3 linked regions of the Oryzias latipes genome follow. The main gene of each other region encodes a partner of the protein of the gene in region 2 in a complex. Links are inferred from orthologs where the notes say so. Each region holds a gene or a part of one and is shown on either strand. Other genes may lie near its edges.

The links. Proteins that work in one complex are often made in the same cells at the same time.
Region 1: nckap1 (region 2) and cytoplasmic FMR1-interacting protein 2 share a complex: the UniProt entries of both Homo sapiens proteins name them as parts of the WAVE1 complex. The link is inferred for Oryzias latipes from reciprocal best matches to the Homo sapiens genes NCKAP1 and CYFIP2.
Region 3: nckap1 (region 2) and wasf2 share a complex: the UniProt entries of both Homo sapiens proteins name them as parts of the WAVE2 complex. The link is inferred for Oryzias latipes from reciprocal best matches to the Homo sapiens genes NCKAP1 and WASF2.

What each region holds. Positions count from the first base shown.
Region 1 is NC_019868.2:21,208,222-21,211,721, forward strand, and holds part of cytoplasmic FMR1-interacting protein 2, read left to right. Parts: intron 1-12; coding exon 13-166; intron 167-863; coding exon 864-1,020; intron 1,021-1,100; coding exon 1,101-1,197; intron 1,198-1,276; coding exon 1,277-1,353; intron 1,354-1,432; coding exon 1,433-1,541; intron 1,542-1,620; coding exon 1,621-1,740; intron 1,741-1,816; coding exon 1,817-2,016; intron 2,017-2,088; coding exon 2,089-2,176; intron 2,177-2,316; coding exon 2,317-2,460; intron 2,461-2,586; coding exon 2,587-2,677; intron 2,678-3,500. UniProt on the Homo sapiens protein: Involved in T-cell adhesion and p53/TP53-dependent induction of apoptosis. Does not bind RNA. As component of the WAVE1 complex, required for BDNF-NTRK2 endocytic trafficking and signaling from early endosomes.
Region 2 is NC_019873.2:796,402-799,901, forward strand, and holds part of nckap1 (nck-associated protein 1), read right to left. Parts: intron 2,821-3,500; coding exon 2,728-2,820; intron 2,651-2,727; coding exon 2,594-2,650; intron 2,507-2,593; coding exon 2,364-2,506; intron 501-2,363; coding exon 410-500; intron 99-409; coding exon 1-98. UniProt on the Homo sapiens protein: Part of the WAVE complex that regulates lamellipodia formation. The WAVE complex regulates actin filament reorganization via its interaction with the Arp2/3 complex. Actin remodeling activity is regulated by RAC1.
Region 3 is NC_019869.2:21,789,727-21,793,103, forward strand, and holds the end of wasf2 (wiskott-Aldrich syndrome protein family member 2), read right to left. Parts: intron 1,634-3,377; coding exon 1,476-1,633; 3' UTR 501-1,475; downstream 1-500. UniProt on the Homo sapiens protein: Downstream effector molecule involved in the transmission of signals from tyrosine kinase receptors and small GTPases to the actin cytoskeleton. Promotes formation of actin filaments. Part of the WAVE complex that regulates lamellipodia formation.

The sequences.
Region 1 (3,500 bases), on a different chromosome or scaffold from region 2:
CTTCCTGTGCAGTTGTACATGGTCCGCACCATGCTGGAGTCCCTGATAGCAGACAAAAGTGGATCGAAGAAGACTCTCCGCAGCAGTTTGGATGGACCCATAGTGCAGGCCATCGAAGATTTCCATAAGCAGTCCTTCTTCTTCACACATTTACTGAACTTTAGTGGTAAGCTAAATGTAATTCAAGTCATTTATTCAGGAGATGGAATATATTTTTTGATTGAAATCGAAAATTTTAGTTGGAATATCAAACTATAAGTGCATGCTGTTTGTTTTAATGATCCTATTTAAGCATGAAGGTTTTAACAGCTATCTGTACCTCTAATGATTTCCTTATATAGTCCACTTTGTCAGGTACAGCTCATCTAAACTCTAGTGCAGACAATAGGTGAACCTTGCTCTGTTTGAGAGGAAGGTTCTGGTTTTCATGTTTTTTATGGTTGACCAAAGCGCAGAAGTGAACCAAAAGGAGAAATGACATAAGAGTTATGTATTAAAAGTAGCAACAAAATCAGCAAAACTCAGAAGGAATCACATAAAGTTGAAAAGCATTGCAGTGTAAACTTGTAGTGAGGAAATACTAGCGCTAATTATCTGAGAGTGGTTGTGGCAATAGTTGTTTTTCTTCGTCTTCCCTGCTTTGGTCTGCTTATGCTGCCCCCAAGTGAGCAGCACTTGAAACTGCAGGTTTTCTTCAGGCAGTTAAATCTGCTTCAGCAGCTTCTGAGAGCTGTATGTGCTTTAGCAACCCAAACCAGACGAATGTACGACAGTTATTTGAATTTTCTGCTCATTTATACAAAGTCCACAGGACTATCCTTGTGCATGTAAGCAATACTTTTAATTGTGTTTGTCTTGTCCAGAGGCCCTGCAGCAGTGCTGCGACCTGTCCCAGCTCTGGTTCAGGGAGTTCTTCCTGGAGCTGACCATGGGCCGCAGAATCCAGTTCCCCATTGAAATGTCCATGCCATGGATCCTTACTGACCACATCCTGGAGACAAAGGAGCCTTCCATGATGGAGTAAGACTAATTAAGGGGAGATTTGTGTTTTGTACCCTAACAAGTGGGCAGTACTGCAACCATTACCCTTTCTCCTCCAGGTATGTGCTGTACCCCCTTGATTTGTACAACGACAGTGCCTACTATGCTCTTACAAAGTTTAAAAAGCAGTTCCTCTATGATGAAATTGAGGCTGAGGTAAGATCTGATGGACACCAATTCCATTTGGCTCATTTTAAGTTGAATTTGATATATATTTTGTGTGTTATTTGAACAGGTAAACCTGTGCTTTGACCAGTTTGTCTACAAGTTGGCAGATCAGATCTTTGCCTATTATAAAGCAATGGCTGGCAGGTAAAAGGAGATTTTTTTTTTGAACAGAATACAGAAATTTGAGGGCTTCGTTTGAAGAAATTGTGATTTTTTTCCACAGTGTTCTGCTAGACAAGCGTTTCAGGGCAGAGTGTAAAAACTACGGGGTCATCATCCCGTACCCTCCATCAAACCGCTACGAGACGCTGCTCAAACAGAGACACGTACAGGTATCTGCACATCGTCTTTTTGATTATTTTGCTGTCTCATTTGCAAACTATGTCATTGTCGTATTTGACTCGTCTGCAGCTGCTGGGTCGCTCGATTGACCTGAACCGCCTGATCACCCAGAGAATCTCGGCAGCGATGTACAAATCCTTGGATCATGCTATTAGCCGTTTTGAGAGTGAAGACCTCACCTCCATAGTGGTGAGGGGACCATCAGGTGAAGCTTATTCCTGTTCGTTCTCCATATTTTGTTTAAACTCCTTGTATTTTTGGACAGGAGTTGGAGTGGCTCCTGGAGATCAACAGGCTAACCCACAGACTTCTGTGCAAACACTTGACGCTGGACAGCTTTGATGCCATGTTTCGTGAGGCCAACCACAATGTCTCTGCTCCCTACGGACGAATCACGCTCCACGTTTTCTGGGAACTCAACTTCGATTTTCTCCCAAATTACTGCTACAACGGATCAACGAACCGGTCAGCTAAATAAATGTAAAGAAAAACCATTGTTTTGTTTCAACTTTGAACCATCTCTCCTGTTCCTCTCAGCTTTGTGCGAACAGCTATTCCTTTCACCCAGGAGCCTCAAAGAGACAAGCCAGCCAATGTGCAGCCTTATTACTTGTATGGATCCAAGGTATATTGCCATTCTATGTTTGGTGTTCATATTTTTATCTATTTTTTGTTGCTTTTTACACTGTGTAACAAAAGAAAAACTGAAATAATGACTATGCTGCCTCCGATTATGATTCCGATGCTTCCTCTTTTTCTTCTCAGCCTCTGAACATCGCCTACTCCCACATATACAGCTCCTATAGAAACTTCGTCGGCCCGCCTCACTTCAAGACCATCTGCCGCCTGCTTGGTTACCAAGGCATCGCTGTCGTGATGGAGGAGCTGCTGAAAATTGTCAAGAGCCTGGTATTTATCTTCCAATTGCAGCCTCCAAAAAACATGTTGTCATGATCTTTCTGAATTGTAACCGCTATCATTATCTGCCTTTTTCTTTCCCTTTCGATGCTTTTGTCTATCTATTTTACCCTATAGTTGCAGGGCACCATACTGCAATATGTGAAAACTCTGATAGAAGTCATGCCCAAGATCTGCCGTCTACCGCGCCATGAGTATGGTTCCCCCGGTGAGCTCACCTCTGTCTTTTGTCCAACCACATTTACTGACAGGTTTTGAAATTTTAAACTTAAATGTGCACTTTTTATTTTTATTTTTTTTTAGCAAAAATGACTCAAATAAGGAAGTTCAGTGTAAATTCAATTAAAAGCATAGATTGTGACTGGTTGAGGTTTTTTACATACTACATTAAATTAAAAAACCATCAAGCTGAGATTCATAATGACTATTATTGTTATAATCCAGTATAAGATTATTCCAAGAAACCAGATCATTTAATTAAATTCTAATGGTCTATGTAATTGACCAGCAGATTACACTGAAAGCTTTTCATTGGAATCTTCATACTGAGTAAGCTAACAGCAACAGGGCATAAACTTCCATTTTTAAATGGAAGATTAGGAAGAATTCTTCAGCAGAACCAGACTTGATATGAGTAACAGGTTGGGCTCTAAAAGGGGGCTAAATGCTGTGACTGTCCGACACAAATGTGACGGCCCGCAAAAATCAACAATTAACTAAAAGCACCCCACAAACCAAAATAAAACAATATATATAACGTAAGGATGGACGGACAGACAGATGAAGATTAGACAGGCAGACGAGGCCGAATATAGGCATTGAAAAGAGGGGGGCAATGCCACCTAAATGCGTCGGTGCCCCCCTGAATGTGATGGCCCACGACGTCCACCACCAACTATAGAAATAAAAATTACAAAAAAAAAACAAAAAAAAAGACATCATGGAGTTACAGACAGATGGACAAATAGACGGACACGAAAAGAAAAAAAAATACATAAATGCACCCTTAACAGCTTGCTGGTGCCTATCCT
Region 2 (3,500 bases):
GAGATGAGGGACAGCAGCTGGGCATTCCTCCACTGGTCAGCAGACAGGTTTCTCCGTGGATAAACCATCTGTAGGCTGATCAGGGCTTCCGACAGAGACTGGTCACAGCAAACATGCAGCTTGTGTCAGAATTAGCTAGGGTCACCACCAAATTCTTGAAAGAATGCAGGTGTTTCTCTTAGCAGTGGCTCAATAACATTAACTTATCTTATCTTTATGGACTGTTTGATTCTAATCAAATGCTGAACTTTGTCATTTCCAAACTACACAAGATAAGCAAGAAACTAAAAAGGATAAATGTACTTTTGGAATCCTGCTCCGGTTGTGATAGAAACCAGAAATGGATCCATTTGTTAGAATGCTCATACCTGCGGTCCAAAACACTAAGAGAACACAGGACACGCCTCACCTTTCCATGAGGGACAAACTCTTCCATCATCTTCTTCAGAGGATTCTCATAATCCACGATCATCTGTCCCAGCCTTGGATACTCCCTGTCACTGCAGCACACACACATAATGCTCAGGTTTATCCAGAGTGACTCCAGGTTTCCTTGTTTTCTGTCTTCCAGCAGACACAGCAGCAGGAATCCGTACTGAACCCTCAGAACTTTGTTAAAGACATCTATTCAACTCCAAGGCAAACCACCAGCTCACATCTTTACCGGACCATGCTGAAAGCAGCAGGGCACACAAAAGGGGGGGGCTGTCCCCTCTCTTATCTAAAACATGGCTCTGTTTCTGTTTCTAGGAGTCCAGTAGAGACTAAGCTGCAACTCCAGTGTAGACAGCTGACTTTGTGCTCATGTTAGTATGTTTTTGTCTCTGACTTTTTCCCTGTTCTGTTCCAGGGTACAGGGAACACCATCAGACTTCTGGGACACAGTAAAGTGAACATTGCAGAGGCAGACTGGCAGATGTGGTGCGGTACAGTGGACTCAGGAACAGAACAGATCAGCTGTGATAGATAAACAACCCTTTCCCCATCCCCCATGTTAAAAATGTAAAACACAGTGCAAGTAACACTGCGATCTAAAGACAGACCACATAGGGGTGTAATGATTAATCCACGTAATCGATGAATCCATTTCTATTCCTACATTCCAACCAGATCCATCTGTCTAAGGCAAGTTGTAAATCGAATCGACCCATACCATTATACATTTGTTTCAAAATGAGATAAATCTGTCATCAGCTTTGGGAAATACCATTTGGATTGAGACATGGTAGCATTTATTTTACTACAACGTAAAAACGACCAAGTTCATCACAGCGGACAACACACATGTGATGTCATGAACACGGATCAGTCCATCATTCCAGTCCAATGTGTGGACAGACTTTGAATGAAGTCATGTGACCATCCAGTGTGAACCATTGTTCAAATGAATTGTATTGAATGAATTGCAGGGGCCTCAAACATTTTCAAACTTGGAGGCTACTGAGGAGAACATAAGACCTGAGCGCTGAATATTTTAAAAAAATCAGGGCCATTTATATTCATTTTTCAGATATTTAGAGTATTATTTCAGCTTCTTTGAAAGTAGGAGAGAGGGATTTAGTACTTAACTTCTACTGTATCACTGTTGACAACTAAGATTTTCTCCAGCCTGTTGCTTATCTACAGCACAACTTTCTCTCCTGGAGGGTGTTTTCAGTTTGTCCACTTCTGGAATGTCCACTGTATTCCAGAAGATTTAAGAAAAAACTGTGCTTCAGACCACAAATGATAACTTTAAAAATGTTTTCCTTAAAAGAGTTTGAAAAATTCATGCCTGTGAGTTTATCCAGCTGTTCATTTAGTCAGCCATGTATGTTAAGGTCGACCAAGCGTGAGCATTAGGTGTCCTATGGGAAATTCCATTTTACATTAGCATCAAGCTAGCAGACTTTGGGTTTACTCTTGTTATGCGGTAAAGATTCCGAGTCCGTGATTGGTCACAGTGCTGCGATTCAGCGTGAAAATGATTAACCAGTTGAACTGTCAGCGAGCAATCAATGAACGCCTGATTTGTATGTGATTTGTACGTAGAGCTCGCGAACGGACTTTAAACTTTTTTAGGGTTAAATAGAAATTCCTGAACTATACATGTAAATTTTCTATTTCTGTCAACGTACGATCCGGCGGTCATTAGCAGTACCGTACATGACACGAACCACCTCGGACTGAGTACCAGCACTGTCACCTTTTGTAAAAAAAATAAAATAAAAAAGTGGCCCATCACTTTACGTAAAGAATAATTGTAGATTAATCGACTAATTGAAAATCAATCGACTACTGAAATAACTGTTAGAGACAGCCGTAGTACGAACAGACTGATCTGATCAGACCCTGACTGAGGGACTAGAACCTGGCTCTGTCACCTGGCTCCATGCGTCATCTCATGCGCGTAGTTGTAGAGTCCAATGATGGCTTTTCTCTCCTCGATGCGAGACAAGATGATCATCAGAGTGGTGTAGGTCACCACCAGGTCCAGGTAGTTCCTGGTCAGGTCAAAGTTCACCGTCTGCTCGAGAACACAATCACAGGTTTAATTCTGGTTCAGTGGAGCTTCTTCATTCTGAAAGGAACAAACCTAAAAATCAGCGCTTACGATATCAAAGTAGACCTGGCAGGCGTCAATGGTGTTCAGCAGCTCACACACGTGGTCCTGTGGATGAAGATGGAAAGCAACTCATCAGTGACAGCCTTTAAATCTGAACTCCTCCAGAATGTTCTTTCTCCCACCTTAAACTCCATGACGTCCACAAAAGTGAAGTAATACAGAGCCAAGTTCTTTAAAATCTCAGACTTCTCCTTCTGCAGCTGGGCCAGCTGTTGCTGTGAAACCACACAAGAACACGTCTGAGCAACAAGTCAGAGCCTGTTTCCAACAGCCACCATGACCCACCACCTGACAGCAGAGCTAAAGCATCTGCAGGACGCCTCTCCTCATCCGTCTGACTCTTGGAAGCAGAAACAAATGCATCATGCAGACTTCTGCTGCCATCCAATTCCCATTAAAGACTCAACTCATGCAAGACCAGAACAGCTTTGCTTTTCCTACAATTCTGCACTAAATGAACCAAAGTCACTTTTTGCAGCTGCTGAATAATTCAGCAACTTAAAAAACATCTTCTAAGGAAGCTTGAAGATATTTACTTTGCTTGAAGTTTTTTTCATGTTATGCTTCAAATGCTTTGGTGTGTATCCAAACGATGAAAACATGTGATGAGTTAGTGGATTTTTTCAAAAGCAAAGATCCTTTAACATTTAAATAGCAATTCCTTTAAAAAGAAATGGCATCTGAATGCTAAAAGCACAACTTTCATTCATTCCTAATGAACTGCTGTCAGAGTGCAGTATAAAGAGAAAAAGAAGTGTTTTACTAATTGGCAGATGACATCATGGTAAACGTTTTTTAAATGACTTAGGAAGCTGCTATGAGAAATAGATAAATAGATTCTGTCTTGAAGGCAGGGATGTCAAACTCCAGGCCTTCAGGGCCGGCCTCCGGCTGG
Region 3 (3,377 bases), on a different chromosome or scaffold from region 2:
GATTAGCTTGCAATGCTTTTTTTTTTTTTTAACACTGAGCTTCAATAATTTTTTTGCAGCAACAAGACTGATGTCCTTTACATCAGCCTTTGAGAAGCTGGATAAGCACAGATCCATCCAATCCATTATTATTATCAAAACTTTTTGGTTGAGTTGAGTATCAAAAAATTCTCTGCCATCACTACTTCTATATCTAAAATGCAGTTTAAAAGTGCATCAATACACCGACTCATCAGGAGTAAAGGCACCATAAGCTTAAGAATGATCTGCATTAGTATGGACGTAAATGGCGGGACTCCTTTAGACATACTAAACATTTTTATTATAACACATACAGAATAAAAAGCACAGGACCTAGAATGAAGCCCGGGGGAACGCCTTGGGATTATCAGTGGTTCCTGGAGGATTACCAATTTCATTTGGAGATAAAATTTCCTTTTCACCAGAGCATTATAATGTGCATACATGGAGAAGGAACAAATAAATAAATCGGAGCCATCTTTTAGCTTCATTCTATATTTATTGAAATAAATCATTTAAAAGTTTAAGGCAGAAAACGAACACTTTGGAAAAAACATTTGATTGCTCTGTAGCCAAAAAAGACAAAAAAAAGGCACTTTAGATTTGACATCACTGGAATCCGTGAATATGTTTTTTTTGTCTGAACTTCGTTCTTGTTAGGCTAATCAAATTTGTGCTCAGAGGAGACGTGGAAAGCCTAAGACAAAAAAAAGGCTGCTGTTTACATCAGTGAAGCAGACAACAGTGCATACAACATCCCCCCCCCCAAAAAAATCCAAATATAATTTACAAAGAGTAAAATATATTACACAATAAATCTTATTTTTGAGACATGTCTGCATGTTTAATAAGGCACGGATGTTGTCCAACACAGGTGGGAAGATCCGTTTTTTTGAGCTACAACCATAAGATTTGATCTTTATTGAACACCAATAATGTGTTTGAATACTTAAATGAGAAGGAAAAAAAGGAGAATTTCTTCATCTGGAAGACGGATTTGATAATAAACTTTGGGTATATTTGCTGTCTGAAAATCAATACTTATCTTTCACTGGGGTTAAACCGCAAAGCTGAATGCAAGAGAGAAACTGTACAACTAAGTACATCATCAGGAAAATAAAAACACAGATTCCCGTCATTGACAAAAAGCGAGAGACACCTGCAGACAGGCATTAAGGATATAGGAGGATGAATAAGATATTTATTATAACAGTGATTTTCCTGAGAAAACTGTGGGACACAAGCGAGCATGCTTGGGCTTAGTTCTAACCTTTGGACCTTTACACATAAATAAGGTGGAAAAATTGGCAATAACTGTTTCTAGGAATGTGATTTAAAATACAAGTACATGTTAAACCAACGAAGGAAACATGTAGATGAAGAGCAATTTAAATGGAAATCCACAACGTTGTTTAACGATTGGGAAAGACGTGGTGAGGGGAAAAGACCGGGTCTCACTCGGACCACTCATCATCGTCAAACTCGGAGGAGTCGTCCTCGCTGTCACTGCACTCCACAGCGATACGGCGGGACAAGATGGCGGCCACATCGTTTCCAAAGTGATCCCTCTTCTCCTGCTCCCGCTGAGCTTCCACCTTCCGCAGGTTAAAACCTAAAACAGAGCGTTGTTTGGACAATACAGTAGAACTATAAACAGGAACAAAAGCTTTGGTGCTCATTTTAAATCCAAACACAATGTCCTCAGTGGTACCAGAAAGCCAAAACCCCTAAGACTTCTATTGAGAAATAAACAACTATTACTCATTCTAGTTGTAAGAATAACCATTTTTGTAATTCATTTTCCTTACATGTTCTTGCTAATCTTACATTTTTTCATGTTAATCTTTCTGTAGTAAAAGTAGTAAACTGAACAATCAGATGACTCAAAAGTATGTGTCACATTAAACATTTGATCGGCAAATTCTCCCAAGCCTGTTTTCAGTGAAAGGGGTGTGGCCTTCCAACAAACTCACTCCTGATTGAGTGGTTGCCATAGAAATGCTGACTCAGACCTACCACAGTTTACTGACGTTGTCTGTTTTCAATGAGGAAATGTCCACATCATGAAAAAATGGCGATTGAATTGACTTTATTTGGTTGGAACGGGAAGTAAGGCATTTTCTATGGGGGACGTCTCAGCCCAGTTCTCATACACAGTCAATGTTTGGAGCCAGGATTCCTCATTTTCAATCATTTTCTTCAAATCTTTTTTTTGGATGGCAGTGTCGGATCTATTTATGCATGAATGACTAAACTTCATTGAATCACTCTCAGGAGGCTGTTAAGATCAATTAAGTTCTATTGCTTCACTTTTCTTTCATCTTTCTTGCTCTCATCTTTGCTGTTTTTTGGCTTTATGGACATATTGTATGACCCCCGATTTTACATACTGAAAGAAAAATCAAAGCGTAACATTGTGTCTTTTCAAATAAACATGCAGCACATAAGAGAATCACTTTCAATTTGCAGCTTTAAATACTATTTACTGGCAAGAGAATTTAAAAGTCCTGATCAAATTAAAAGTTAGGAAGATTCCTTTTTTTCTGGTGGTAGAGCTGTTCATTTGTCTTCAGGTTGGCTAATAATTTCACAACACTGATGACAGGCTGACTTTAACAAACAGGTTTACCACACAAGACAAACAGGACAATTACAGTCATCGTATCACCTAAACCATCATGTTGCTACCTCTGGATATTGTTTCTACCATACGATTACATATTACATAAAAGTGCATCAGCTTAGTTTCAAGTTTCTTGTCTGTCGCAATTGAACATTGCGCAAACGAAAACAGAATACCTGTGCTAATATTCCCAGATTGTGATACATGTCGATGAAGACTCATTCATCCACAGGGCTCCAGACTGCGACCATTTGCTCGCATTTTGCGACCAAAATTTGAGACTGTGCGACTGAATTTTACATCCAGTCGCACATGCGCGACCAGTAAATTTGCCTCCCCCACCCTCCGTATTTTTTTATTCATTAAACGTGGAAGCGGTCCGTCAATGATCAATGAAATGAGCAATGAAATCATCAATGAGACGCGAGCCCACACGCACGCAGACAGACACACACACACTCGTGAGACTGGAGCACACGCGAGCGCACACTCGCATGTCATTGAGTGATGCCTGAGGCGGCCAATGCGTGTGAGAAGAATAGGGAAAGTCACTGCAACTGGCTAAAATATGTGGAGGGGCGGGGCCTAGAGATAATCGAGTGCGCGTTAACGTCTGTGGGAAGGAAACGGAGACAAATCATCACAACCTGATATGTGCGTCTGAGCTATGAACAGCTAGCGAACTATTGATTCGTTATTTCGACCTGCGGCTAGTATACCAGTGCCAGAGTGT